Linked DNA regions of Saccharomyces cerevisiae S288C. The protein of the gene in region 1 interacts with the protein of each later gene in a biochemical or structural test. Each region holds a gene or a part of one and is shown on either strand. Other genes may lie near its edges.

What was found.
Region 2: the proteins of RNT1 (region 1) and GAR1 form a complex in vitro, tested with the Saccharomyces cerevisiae proteins (one study listed by BioGRID).

What each region holds. Positions count from the first base shown.
Region 1 is NC_001145.3:745,682-753,926, forward strand, and holds RNT1 (ribonuclease III), read right to left. Parts: upstream 3,997-8,245; coding exon 2,581-3,996; downstream 1-2,580. Other genes in the region: BCH1 (exomer complex subunit), read left to right, coding at 1-242; DFG5 (putative mannan endo-1,6-alpha-mannosidase), read left to right, coding at 672-2,048; U2 snRNP complex subunit CUS1, read right to left, coding at 4,249-5,559; YHM2 (Yhm2p), read left to right, coding at 6,280-7,224; 60S ribosomal protein eL20 RPL20A, read right to left, coding at 7,544-8,061. UniProt on the Saccharomyces cerevisiae protein: DsRNA-specific nuclease that cleaves eukaryotic pre-ribosomal RNA at the U3 snoRNP-dependent A0 site in the 5'-external transcribed spacer (ETS) and in the 3'-ETS. In vitro, cleaves synthetic 5'-ETS RNA A0 site in the absence of snoRNA or other factors.
Region 2 is NC_001140.6:280,150-285,092, reverse strand, and holds GAR1 (H/ACA snoRNP pseudouridylase subunit GAR1), read left to right. Parts: upstream 1-1,794; coding exon 1,795-2,412; downstream 2,413-4,943. Other genes in the region: arginine--tRNA ligase MSR1, read left to right, coding at 1-254; histone acetyltransferase YNG2, read left to right, coding at 468-1,316; rRNA-binding ribosome biosynthesis protein RPF1, read right to left, coding at 2,711-3,598; RTC3 (Rtc3p), read right to left, coding at 3,938-4,273; YHR086W-A (uncharacterized protein), read right to left, coding at 4,701-4,862. UniProt on the Saccharomyces cerevisiae protein: Non-catalytic component of the H/ACA small nucleolar ribonucleoprotein (H/ACA snoRNP), which catalyzes pseudouridylation of rRNA and is required for ribosome biogenesis.

The DNA.
Region 1 (8,245 bases):
TCAATGACATCGACAGCTCAATCATCGATCTAGTAGTCAAGATTTGTTGCTGGAATCATCGTTGGTACATCGAGTTCTCAATAATATTAATAGATGCTCTGAGTGTTGCAGTACAAGATATGGGCATTACTAAAGTACATAATGAAATTGCCTCTAGATTTTCTGACCCAGTAGCCCAATTGATTGACGATAACATTCTAAATTTTCTGAAGAATTTCACGAATGACACTTTCGATAATTAGAAAAAGATGAATACAATCAATAAAAAGGTGAAAGAAATCAATTAACAAGAAACGGGTTATGTATTTTATGTATGATATCCTGGCATTGTCATGTATAGGTCACCTTCTTGGGGAATTTCCCATTTTCAAGTTATTCTGCCTCTAATGCGATAACCGTAATCTTAAATTGTTTAATTTCTTTTTCACAATCTGAGCCACGCCCGAAAAAAAAACAATGTAATCCGCGTAAAGCGAAACTGAGTATAACCCAAAAATAGAATGTAAATTAATGAAAAGCCCATTTCTCCAAAAGATCAGCTTTACTCAAATATCTAATTAAGTAATTGACTGTGTACATTGTCCTTTATCTCATTTTGAATCACCTTTATTAATTTTTGGTTGTTATATAGGACGAACAAATTAGAACGAAATCATATCCAGAACGCAGATATGATCGTCAATATTAGTGCGAAGATGATCTTATCGATATGCTTTACGTTTCTGTCATTTTTTAAAGCCACTCATGCCATGGATTTGGATACTACTAGCAAAACGTCAATTTGTGATGCGACAGCGTTAATTCAAGGTGGTATGCTGGATTACTATGAGGGTACTAGATACGGTGGTACCGTTGGGATGTTTCAGTCACCATACTATTGGTGGCATGCAGGGGAAGCATTTGGTGGCATGTTGGAAAATTGGTTTCTTTGTGAGAATGATACATATCAAGAATTACTATACGATGCACTATTAGCGCAAACTGGTTCCAATTACGATTATATCCCGTCCAACCAAACGATGGTTGAGGGGAATGATGACCAAGGTATTTGGGGTATTACTGTTATGGGTGCTGTCGAGAGAAATTTTACAGACCCCGGTGACGGCAAGCCAGGTTGGTTGGCAATGGTACAAGCTGTTTTCAACACCATGTACTCAAGATGGGATTCAGAGCACTGTGGCGGTGGTCTGAGATGGCAAATTTTCACTTGGAATAGTGGTTATAATTATAAAAATACAGTTTCAAATGCATGTTTGTTCCAGATTGCGGCGAGGTTGGGCAGATATACTGGTAACACTACATATTTGGAGGTTGCTGAACAGGTTTTCGACTGGCTAGTGGATGTCGGGTATGTGGTTCTTAACGATACTGCAAATGTCTTTGATGGTGCTGAAATTGATACAAATTGCACTGATATTACAAAAATTGAATGGACTTATAATCACGGTATCGTGCTTGGTGGTCTTGCATACATGTATAATGCTACAAATGGAACAGGTGAATGGGAGACCAGTTTGACAAAAATTCTAAATGGTGCTAAATCTTATTTCTTCAAAGATAGTATTATGTACGAAAGCGCTTGTCAAGACTATGGCACCTGTAACACCGATCAAAGAACATTCAAAAGTATTTTTTCTCGTATGCTTGGTCTTACAAGTGTCATGGCTCCCTTTACTAGGGACACAATTGATGATTTGATAAAAACAAGTGCTGAGGCCGCTGCAAAATCATGTAATGGTGGTACAGATGGGCATACATGTGGTTTAAATTGGCAGAAACAAACCAATGATGGCTACTATGGATTAGGTGAGCAAATGAGTGCTCTAGAAGTTATTCAAAATCTTTTAATTCATGACAGGCCAGCTCCATATAAGGAAGATAATGGCGGTACGTCAAAAGGTGACGCGAATGCCGGTATGAACTCATCGACCACTAACGTGCTACAAAACAATTTAAACATTAAGAAAGGTGATCGCGCTGGTGCCGCTATCATCACAGCAGTCATACTGAGTGTGCTAACTGGTGGGGCTGTGTGGATGCTGTTTTAAATGTGTCAAACTAGGCTCAAAAAAATTTTATTGTATTCTAATATTTAGGCTATCCTTTTCTTTCAGTAAAAATGTTTATGTGCTACATACAAAACCCTTCATGATCAAAAACTGATTAAAATTTAGAGAGGAACAATTGTTTTTAAAAAAAATACTAAAAAACACTCACGATGGGGGTCGAACCCATAATCTTCTGATTAGAAGTCAGACGCGTTGCCATTACGCCACGCGAGCTAGTCATATGTTTCTTTCGTCTTTTTCATCTGATGACATTCTAGTGGAACATTTATGGTAAGATACCGATTCCATTTTAAGGATTTCTATACCCTCGAGGAGAACTTCTAGTACATACATAATTTTATAGCTTTGACCAACAATGGAATCCCAAAAATTATCAAATTTTTTATCAAATATTCAAATATATCAAATATTCTAATGTTTTATAAACGTTTTATGAATGACATATATGCGATAATTATATGGCTAAAGAAAATCAATGCAAGTTCCATCATGGTTGTGTAAAAGGAACGTTTCAGCTTGTATCTGAGAATTTTCTTTTCTTATTCTTTTGTGAGGGATCTTTTAACACAGATTCACTCCTAGGAATGGCAGCTCTTTGTTTGGCGTAAAAATCTAACATTTTTTTGTCACGAAGAGCATTTTCTGCAGCCCTAATACCCGCAATTTTGATATTTCTGCCCACACCGGTCCCTAAAACTGTTCCATCACCTACTCTGCACTCAACTATGGAATTAGGATCAACTGCAGTGGGTTTTTTTACGGTAACATAATGTAGACGTAATGAAGCATAGCCAATCAAAGAGTAAAGCTGCCTTTTAGCATTCATATCAAGTTTATCCGTCTTCTCCAAGGCAACTTGATTACGGGTAGCCTCCTCAATGACAGGTTTGGCAAGCTTTCTTAACCATTTTCTTATTTTGGGCAAATTATTCCTTGGATCATCTTCCATCAAGCCGCCAATGTAAGCTTCGAACACATCTGCATACAGTTTTAGTTTGCCGTTTTGAAAATTGGAATTTTCATCCTTCAAGTCAAAATTTGTCTTAAGTTTCTCATGGAAATTGTACATTATTGACCATTGTTTGATCTGTTCGTTGCTTACCAAATTCATCCTTAATGTTGATAACTGACCCTCGCTGTAATCGGGAAACTTGTTATAAATAATTAATGTCATAACAGAATTTAAGATCGAATCGCCTAGGAATTCTAGTCTTTCATTATGTGCGTTGATCATTTCTGATCCAGACAAGTAAACTTTATCCTTTATTGTGGATTTGTGAATAAATACCCTGGCCCTAATCGCTAAATCTTGAATCTCTGGTAATTTTGGAGGCCATTTTGTTGCCTTGACGATATCACCAGCCTTTGTTGGGTCATAGCTATCTTCTCCTTCGTCTTCTTCTTCATCTTCCTTTTCATTTAAATTTTCGTACACATTTACATCTATTTTCTCTCGCTTTTCCCTTTTAACTTGTTCTAGCTTCTCTAACTTTTCCATATCAGCTTTACTGATTTCTTGCAATATAGGTTGCTTTTGTTCAGTATCAAATTCATTTTCATAATCAGTAATTTCTGTCAAAATTGCGTCTTTTTTAAGATCATGTAAGGTTTTTAATTCAGCTGCCAGTTTTAATTGATAACGTGATAGAGAAGGAAGTATCTGAACAGGCACTCTATCTTGATTGTTAACGGCTTCATTGTAAGCTACCAAATTTGGTGAAAGTTCAATTATTTTATTGTAAGACTCCACCAATTTTGTCACAGCATGTTCTAGTTGAATCACCTCAAGATATTTGTAATTTGATATCTTAAGGTTGCCTTTCAAAAGCGTCTTGGTATTGATATTTTCGCGCTGCTGTGAACCATTTTCGTTATCTAGTTTATTATCATTCTGGGTTTTCTTTTTACCTGCTACTTTTGAGCCCATTGTTTTGAAAAGCTTGTAAATAGGACAGTTTTGCTCTCTTCTATATGCGCATTTACTTGCCTCACTTTGATCGAGCAGGATTCTCCTGAGAGTGACTATATGACCTGATAATGAGATAAATTTTGCGATGAGCTCATGAAAAATTTCAGCATGGTTTAGGGCCGCATTTAAAAAAGAAAAAAACTCGTACGTGAGAAATAGTACCACATGTAAAATTTTGTAAAACTGAAGTACCTATGCGATATTTAGTAGTTATTTCAATACAGTATATAGTTGCTTCTCCGATTCCTCTTCGTTTCTCTCAAGTTTTTCTTCTGCGCTTGTCACTTCGGATATGTCTTCCTGGAAGTGATCTAACTTATGCTCTACTTCATCATCGATTTTGTCATCTTGGCGCCCATTTTCCGCATTCGCCTGTGTATCCTCTTTTGAATTTTCAAATTCAGGGGTTTCAAATGAGATCAATGCGCCAAAATAGTTTCTACCCTGTTTCTTGGACCTTGAATGGTGATTAGGGATTATTTTTCCGTAAACGTCGCCTTTTAAATTCGTTATATCCCAATTCAAGCCGGCAATTTTCAGATCAGGATATCCCGTAGGTAATCCAATGTCTTTCATCTTCATACACCATGGTGGTAGTTGACCTTCGGGTAAATTCATTATGGCACGAAGCTCTTGGCTAATTCTCCCCGGTCTCTTATGATCAACCATTCTTTTCCAGTTCGTTTCCTCGAAAAGATTCCTATTTTCATAATAGACGTCACCGAAGCATAACAAATGGTCAGGTTTCCAGTTGGCTCCTATCTTGAAAAACACATCGTGTAACTTCTTGTAATCCAAATCCAAGGCGCCCATTTTCGGCTGCACTCTTGCTCTTGAGGCCTCCTTTAGTGACTTTTCATCTTGACCATCCAGTCCGCTTTGCGGAAGCGTCGATCTCATTTGTTCTATATTTGTCTTCTTGATAATGTCAGGAAGTTCAAAAGGTCTTTTACCTAACAGAGAACGGCCAGATAGATATTCCTTCTTGGACTGCCAGTGGCTTGGAACAGGAATGACATTTTTGGTGCACTTAATTGACGCTAGTAAGCCTGGATATCTTGCGTCACAATCGTACCATTCTATAATTTGAGGATACGGTACCTGGCTTTTTAACTGCGAAAGTGAAGGTTTTTCAGTCTTCCTACGTTTTCTTGCCGATAGATGCTCCTCAATACCATCCGAGGGTGTATCCTCCAATTCATCTTCTGCTGTATGCTTTCTGTTCATAACTGGGTTTTTCTCAACAATAACGACATGATTGTTCTTTTCATCTTTCGTGATTTCCTTCGGCGTATCATTCTCTTGCACTTGAAATCGTTGTAAAACGTCTTTGAACTCTTTTTCTAACTTCGCATCCACTACCTTATTCGTCTTTCCTTTGCTGTTAGTCACCCCACCCTTTTTCTTTTGCTCAAGCCTTCTTGCATCAATCATGGCGGCGATCTCAGCCTTATTATTTACCACAGACGCATTCTTATTTTGGTTATTTCCGGAACGCTTCCTACTTTTGGTTCTAGCCATTTCACCACTATCTTTATGATCTGATGCTCTGCCTATAGATATATACTCTGTATGCTACTGCCTTCTTAATACCTTTCTAAACAATACCAATATACTGTATTGGATTTCTATATGGTTGAAAGTTATTATTCTTGCAATTATAGCCCTGTAATGAAGCTGCGTGATTGGACCTGTGCCCTCTTCTTCCATTACTTACCCTATCACTTTTCTTTCTCAAGACCTAGGTCCTGTCGGCAAATTCCGCTGCAATAACGCGAAGATCATGACTTTTTTCACTCAGAAGGCAGAGAATCACGATTGATAAAGATCACGCAAAAAAAAAAGATGATTGGCTAAATGCATAGGGCGACAAACATGGGCCCTTCTTTTGCACTCATGTTTTAGCTTCCTTTGTCCCATTGTGTAAACTTATGACAAGATATCGCACTCTAAAAAAAAAAAAGAAAAACGCATTAGCCTCTTGCATGGATCTTACCTTCTGTAACATTTATATATCTCGAGAAATCTACGGACATTTAAAAAACGCTGTCAATACAATCTTCTAGATATTCGGATTTGAATTTTGCAAAAAGTCCGAAGCTGCCCACCTCAAGTCATTGTTTCAACTCGCTTACGGTATATATATCTACTTTCATTGAGATATAAACAGCGCTGATACAATCTTTTTATATAAGTCTTTTGTACAAATAAAGCTAGGAAAAGCCCGACGTCATTATAGCTATGCCATCTACCACTAATACTGCTGCAGCAAACGTAATAGAAAAAAAGCCAGTCTCGTTTTCTAATATCCTATTGGGTGCCTGTTTAAACTTGTCAGAGGTGACTACATTAGGGCAACCTTTGGAGGTTGTTAAGACCACAATGGCTGCAAACAGAAACTTCACATTTTTAGAATCTGTTAAGCATGTCTGGTCAAGAGGTGGTATCTTGGGTTACTACCAAGGTTTGATTCCATGGGCATGGATCGAAGCCTCCACTAAAGGTGCTGTGTTGCTGTTCGTGTCAGCTGAGGCTGAGTATCGTTTCAAAAGTTTGGGGTTGAACAACTTTGCCTCAGGTATATTAGGTGGTGTCACGGGTGGTGTCACTCAAGCCTACTTAACCATGGGGTTCTGTACCTGTATGAAAACGGTGGAAATTACAAGACATAAATCTGCCTCCGCAGGTGGTGTCCCACAATCTTCTTGGAGTGTGTTCAAGAATATTTATAAAAAGGAAGGTATTAGAGGTATTAATAAGGGTGTTAATGCTGTTGCTATTAGACAAATGACCAACTGGGGTTCTCGTTTTGGTTTGTCCAGACTAGTGGAAGATGGTATCAGAAAGATCACCGGGAAAACCAATAAAGACGACAAGTTGAATCCGTTCGAGAAAATTGGTGCCAGTGCTTTAGGTGGTGGTTTAAGTGCTTGGAATCAACCAATCGAAGTCATTAGAGTTGAAATGCAATCTAAGAAGGAAGATCCAAACAGACCAAAAAATTTGACTGTTGGTAAGACATTTAAATACATCTATCAATCAAATGGTCTAAAGGGTCTTTACCGTGGTGTCACCCCAAGAATTGGTTTAGGTATCTGGCAAACTGTCTTCATGGTTGGTTTTGGTGATATGGCGAAGGAATTTGTCGCCAGAATGACTGGTGAAACCCCAGTTGCCAAACATTAGCGTGTATTGTACTATAAGTTTTTTTTAAAAAAATTAATTATTTAGCTTAGTCATTTTTTTTTTTTCTGAGGATATTGCTCTTATGCTGGGGTGCTTCCTATTTGTCTCAACTTGTTCTAATTGTACTAAGGTTATCAGCTATTTACTTCATGCAAACCTTAATATCTATAGATTCTTTGAAAGGAAGCCTTACCCATTTACCTCTGGCCGTTCATGAAATGTTGAAATTATTAAATTCTACAGAATTGATAATACATAAAAATAAACTATTAAAGTATCAGAAAAATATTTTATATCTTAAAATTCAAATATGCACAGTTCAGTAGAAAGTGGAAGGTCTCTTGTAGGAGAAAGTCTTGGTGGATTTTTGGACTCTGTGAGGCAATGGGAATTTCAAGTCCTTGGTCAAAAATTGCTTAACGTATTGTCTCTTGACGTCAGCAGTCTTTTCAATTTCAGCAACCTTCAAGATGTGAATAGATCTAAATCTAGCTCTGTGTCTGGCAGCCATGTCTTGGTATAAGGTTTCGACGGCAGCAACTCTGGAGACGTCTCTGATTTCCTTGTACATATTGTGAGTACCAGATCTGGAGTCGTATCTAACCCAGACACCGAAGTTCTTGACCTTGGTTGGATGAGCTTCGTTGATTTGGTTGATGGAAACAATTTCACCAGAAGCCTTCTTAACCTTGTGCAACTTTTGCAAGAAATACCAGTAACGAGACTTGGCAATAACTTCATTTGAAGCAAAGATTCTCATTCTGAACAACTTTGGTTCTGGAACAGATTCAGTTGGCAAACGACGGCCAATAACTTGGTATTCTTTAAAGTGAGCCACTGATAAAATAACAAGGATTTTCATGAAAAATCACAAATTTGAATGTTAGTATGAAGTCCATGTGACACATGAGAAAAGGGAAGCTTTTATGGAGGAGTTATTATCACATTCGCAAGGTCAGGTAATAGCCTTTTAGACATTTGAAAGATCCATGAAAGTTTAACTCAGGTGTTTCGTCATTGA
Region 2 (4,943 bases), on another chromosome or scaffold:
TAGTTGAGCTTGTGAGGTTGCTAGCGCAGTATCCAGATGTCCTTAGACGAGCATTCGAAACTCAAGAGCCGGCCACGATTGTAACATATTTATTCAAAGTTTGCCATCAGGTCTCCTCGTGCTATAAAAAAATATGGGTTTCCGGAAAACCTGCAGATATTGCCATACCGCGACTCGCCGTATATTCAGCAAGTAGACAAGTGTTACACAATGCAATGTCGCTTTTGGGACTAGTCCCGGTTGATAGAATGTAATTATATGAATAAGCTAGCAAATGCTAGATTAATTTAGATTAAGTTTAACCAATTTATAAACATGTAAATAGAAGAAAGTTTATTGTTACGTACAACGTGATATTTTCCGATTTTCCTTTAATTGATTCTTGAATAACCCACCTACCGTTAGTTGAAATAGAAACAAAGAAGAAGGATATGCAAGTTTATATTGGACAACATAACCAATAGAAGATGGATCCAAGTTTAGTTTTAGAGCAAACGATACAAGATGTGTCCAACCTCCCATCAGAATTTCGTTACCTCTTAGAGGAGATCGGTTCAAATGATTTGAAGCTCATCGAAGAAAAAAAGAAATACGAGCAAAAAGAATCACAAATACACAAATTTATAAGACAGCAAGGCTCAATACCGAAACATCCACAGGAAGATGGGCTTGACAAAGAAATAAAAGAATCACTTTTGAAATGTCAGTCTTTGCAAAGAGAAAAATGCGTTCTGGCGAACACTGCCTTGTTTCTAATTGCTAGACACTTGAATAAGTTGGAAAAAAACATCGCTTTATTGGAGGAAGATGGTGTTCTAGCCCCCGTGGAAGAAGATGGAGACATGGATAGCGCTGCTGAAGCCTCTAGAGAAAGTTCAGTTGTGAGTAACAGTAGCGTGAAAAAGAGAAGAGCTGCATCAAGCTCAGGATCCGTTCCACCCACTTTGAAAAAGAAAAAAACTAGTCGAACATCTAAACTGCAAAATGAAATTGACGTTTCTTCAAGAGAAAAGTCTGTTACTCCAGTGAGCCCAAGCATTGAAAAGAAGATTGCAAGAACAAAAGAATTCAAAAACAGTAGAAATGGTAAAGGCCAAAACGGTTCCCCTGAAAACGAGGAAGAGGACAAAACTTTATACTGCTTCTGTCAAAGAGTTTCGTTTGGAGAAATGGTTGCATGTGATGGACCCAACTGTAAATATGAATGGTTTCATTATGATTGTGTAAATTTAAAAGAACCTCCGAAAGGAACATGGTACTGTCCCGAATGTAAAATTGAGATGGAAAAAAACAAACTGAAAAGAAAACGTAACTGAACAAAAATACCTTTTTGAGACTGAATGACCTCATTTACACTAATAATATTCCATAAGCCAGAAACGGTGATTGCTATTCTGACAATGTGCTTTTCGAAAAGGAGAAGTAATTTCGAGACATCAGCTAGCAAGGACATATACGATTGACATTTTTGAATGTACTTTCAAATACTTGTGAATCAAACTAAGATATGATTCCTGCATATTCAGGTATATACTATATATTTTAATTTCATTAGCATATGTGTCATACGGTTTTTAAAACTTATGAGCAGGAAAAAGGTGTCACGTGATCAGATGGTCTTTTTTTCAAACTTTGACGTCGGAATTTTTTGTAGTGAAAAATTTTTCGAGATGAGGAAAGGAAGAAAAAATTAATTTGTTAGCCTTATAACGTGAGCACCTTTTCGATAGAGTATCTGATTGCTCTCTTCTACCAAAAGATCACCTGAGGATAATTTTTAACCAAAAGAAAATAATGAGTTTCAGAGGAGGTAATAGAGGTGGCCGTGGCGGCTTCCGTGGCGGCTTTCGTGGTGGACGTACAGGCAGTGCTAGATCATTTCAACAAGGACCACCAGACACTGTTCTAGAAATGGGAGCTTTTCTACATCCATGTGAGGGTGATATTGTTTGCCGTTCTATCAACACTAAGATTCCATATTTCAATGCGCCAATATATTTGGAAAACAAGACTCAAGTCGGTAAAGTTGACGAAATATTGGGTCCATTAAACGAAGTATTTTTCACTATCAAGTGTGGTGACGGTGTCCAAGCAACCAGTTTTAAAGAAGGTGATAAATTCTACATTGCCGCTGACAAACTATTGCCTATTGAAAGATTTTTACCTAAGCCTAAGGTGGTAGGCCCACCAAAACCAAAAAACAAGAAGAAGAGAAGTGGTGCCCCAGGTGGCCGTGGTGGTGCTTCAATGGGTCGCGGTGGTAGCAGAGGAGGTTTCAGAGGAGGCCGTGGTGGTAGTTCTTTCAGAGGAGGCCGTGGTGGCAGTTCTTTCAGAGGTGGATCTCGTGGCGGATCATTTAGAGGAGGATCTCGTGGCGGATCTCGTGGTGGTTTCAGAGGAGGTAGAAGATAATCTAGCTAGAAAAAAATAAAAAAAAAAACCATCCTTTATCTTTCACAATTCTTCATTTCTTCCAACTTACTATATCTGCCGAAGCACGTCTAACGTCGAAAAAAAAAAAAAGAAATTACCGTTTGTTCTGTATACTATATATATATATATTTGTTTGATTGATTTACCTGTAATAAATTGATTTAAAATGAAAAAAAGAGAAATTCAGTAATACCAGAAGCCGCCGTAGTTAAACAAACGACCACGGTTCTTACGGTTGTCTTAATATTATATCCATACAAAGTTTACGAATGGAACACTATAAATAAAACTTTTTCTTTTCTTTGTCCATCTCAGGTTTATGCTCCCATTCAGTTTCTTCCTTAATACCCCTTTGCAATCTTTTCAACTTGAGGGTAAATTGTGGACCCAGTTCTTGCAAACCAACCCTTTCATTATCTTTGAAGACATACCGATGCCTTCTGAAGAAAATGTAATCTCTTTGATTATGTAGGGTGATAACTTGTCGACCTTCAATATCAGGATTCTGAGGTAAAATGGACTGAAACAACCTACCTACTGTTTGACCCAATCTGGTCTGGAAATTATTTAGAATCAATTCTGGAATATGGCTAGTTGGTCTACCATGACCGACAATTTTCTTCACTTCAACAAATGATGATAATTTAAAATAAAAAGTTGGGCCCTCTGGCAGATGTATGAATGTTAGGCCAGTAACCTTTTTCTTGTCCTCGTTGATTATCACGATGTCAGTGAAATTCCTTTTTATACAAATATCAGATATTTCCTTCAATTTGTAGCCAAATTTTCTTTTCACAAATGTGACGTTTGGTAAAATTTCGATTAAAATGTTAGCAAATTCATAAGCGCTCTTCTTAGCGTTTACATTTGTGGTCAGAAAGATCTTTGGTGGCTCATTAGAATTGCTGTTGAAGTATCTCATCAAATCGTCTTCATCTCCCTCCACTTCCTTGTTAATGGTCTCATCGTACACTCTAGTGTTCTCTATCGTCTGTGTTACGTTCTCTTTTAATCTCTGCTCCCGCAGCTCCGGATTCTCTCTCTCTTCCTTAGCTCTCTTTCTTCTCATGGTATGGCGCTCTTTATTTTTTTCATGTTTTATATCAGCAAAAATTTCTTGCCTCTTTAGCTTGTTTGTGATGTTTATCTCATTACCGAGAGCCATTTTTTAGTATTTCAATATATTAAGCCTGCTTTACCTCTTCCTTAGGTGTTCAATCGTAAAGTATAGCTTATGGCATCGCATTTCTTTTTACATCTCATCGCTAAAAATTTTACTTTTCCTTTGTATAAATAATCATGTGTGACGAACGCGAAAATGAAAAATGCACTGAATTAAATGTATACAACGTTATATAGATCGTAAATATGTATATTGAAATATACACCTTTTTGTTCTTTCTACTACTGTAAAAGAAGAATGCATGCGTTATGACAGGGCAGCACGCCAATTTAACTTATTGCATATTTCAATGCAGGCTGTCCAGACAGAAGGAAAAGCTACTCAATTGTAGGCTTTGGTTCCGGCGTTACCCCCTTTGGTTTTGAGACTAGAGGTGGTAGAGTTTGGCTTACCATTTCTCAATATCAAATCGATAACTTCTTCGATCTTCTTGCCCTTACCGAACTCATTTTCCACTTGGGCCTTGGAGGCAGCGCCCAACTCACCCTCGGCACCCCTACCGTCCTGAGGAGTGAAAACTTCGAAGAGTTCGACAACTTCAGATAGCTTACCAATTGATGGATTTTTCAAATATTCGTCTACAAGCTCTTCGGATGCAGCGAAGACAATCAAATCTGTATTTTCACCCTTGTAAAAGTATTTGGTTACAGTAGACATGTTGATTTTATTTTGTGTATGCGATGGTTTTCTTATTTTTATCAGCTTGTTCAAAGTATGAATTTGTTGATAGCTGCTTTTTTATTAGTCAAGAATTGAGTTTAAAGAACATTGGCTTGTGATCATCATCGAAATTGATTCTCATCACTTAAATATCTTTTGCTCCCTGTTTCTGGCGATCCCTTCGACTAAATAAGGGGTCGTTGTTGTTACGTACGGCCCAACAGGGTAGTGCCTGCTCTAGCGTCGAAGTTAGAGGAAAAGAAGCTTAGAGAATAAAAACATTTACTAGTAGTAAGGGGTCTTATTGTCAGAAAGGGACAATTGCGTGGGCAGTATTTTCAAAGAGTGGCTTTCTTCTTCTGAACGGAGTTTCAACCTGCGCTTTCTTTTCCTCCTGCTAGGATTTATTTGTGAGAAAACGAAACTAGCTATAGAAACGCGTAGCACCGGCAGGCCGAAAACCGCTACTACGTAAAGGGGAATGAAAATGGGCCAAATTTGGTGTAAAGATATAGGAGAAGAGACACGGAGTAGGAATTCGCCGTGCCCCTATACAGAGACAACATGAATAGAGAGACAAACGCATTACGTAGTCTTGGAAGATAGCGCAACGGGAAATCTTGACACAGTAAGAAACATTTACAGTATAATAATACTAAAAATAAAA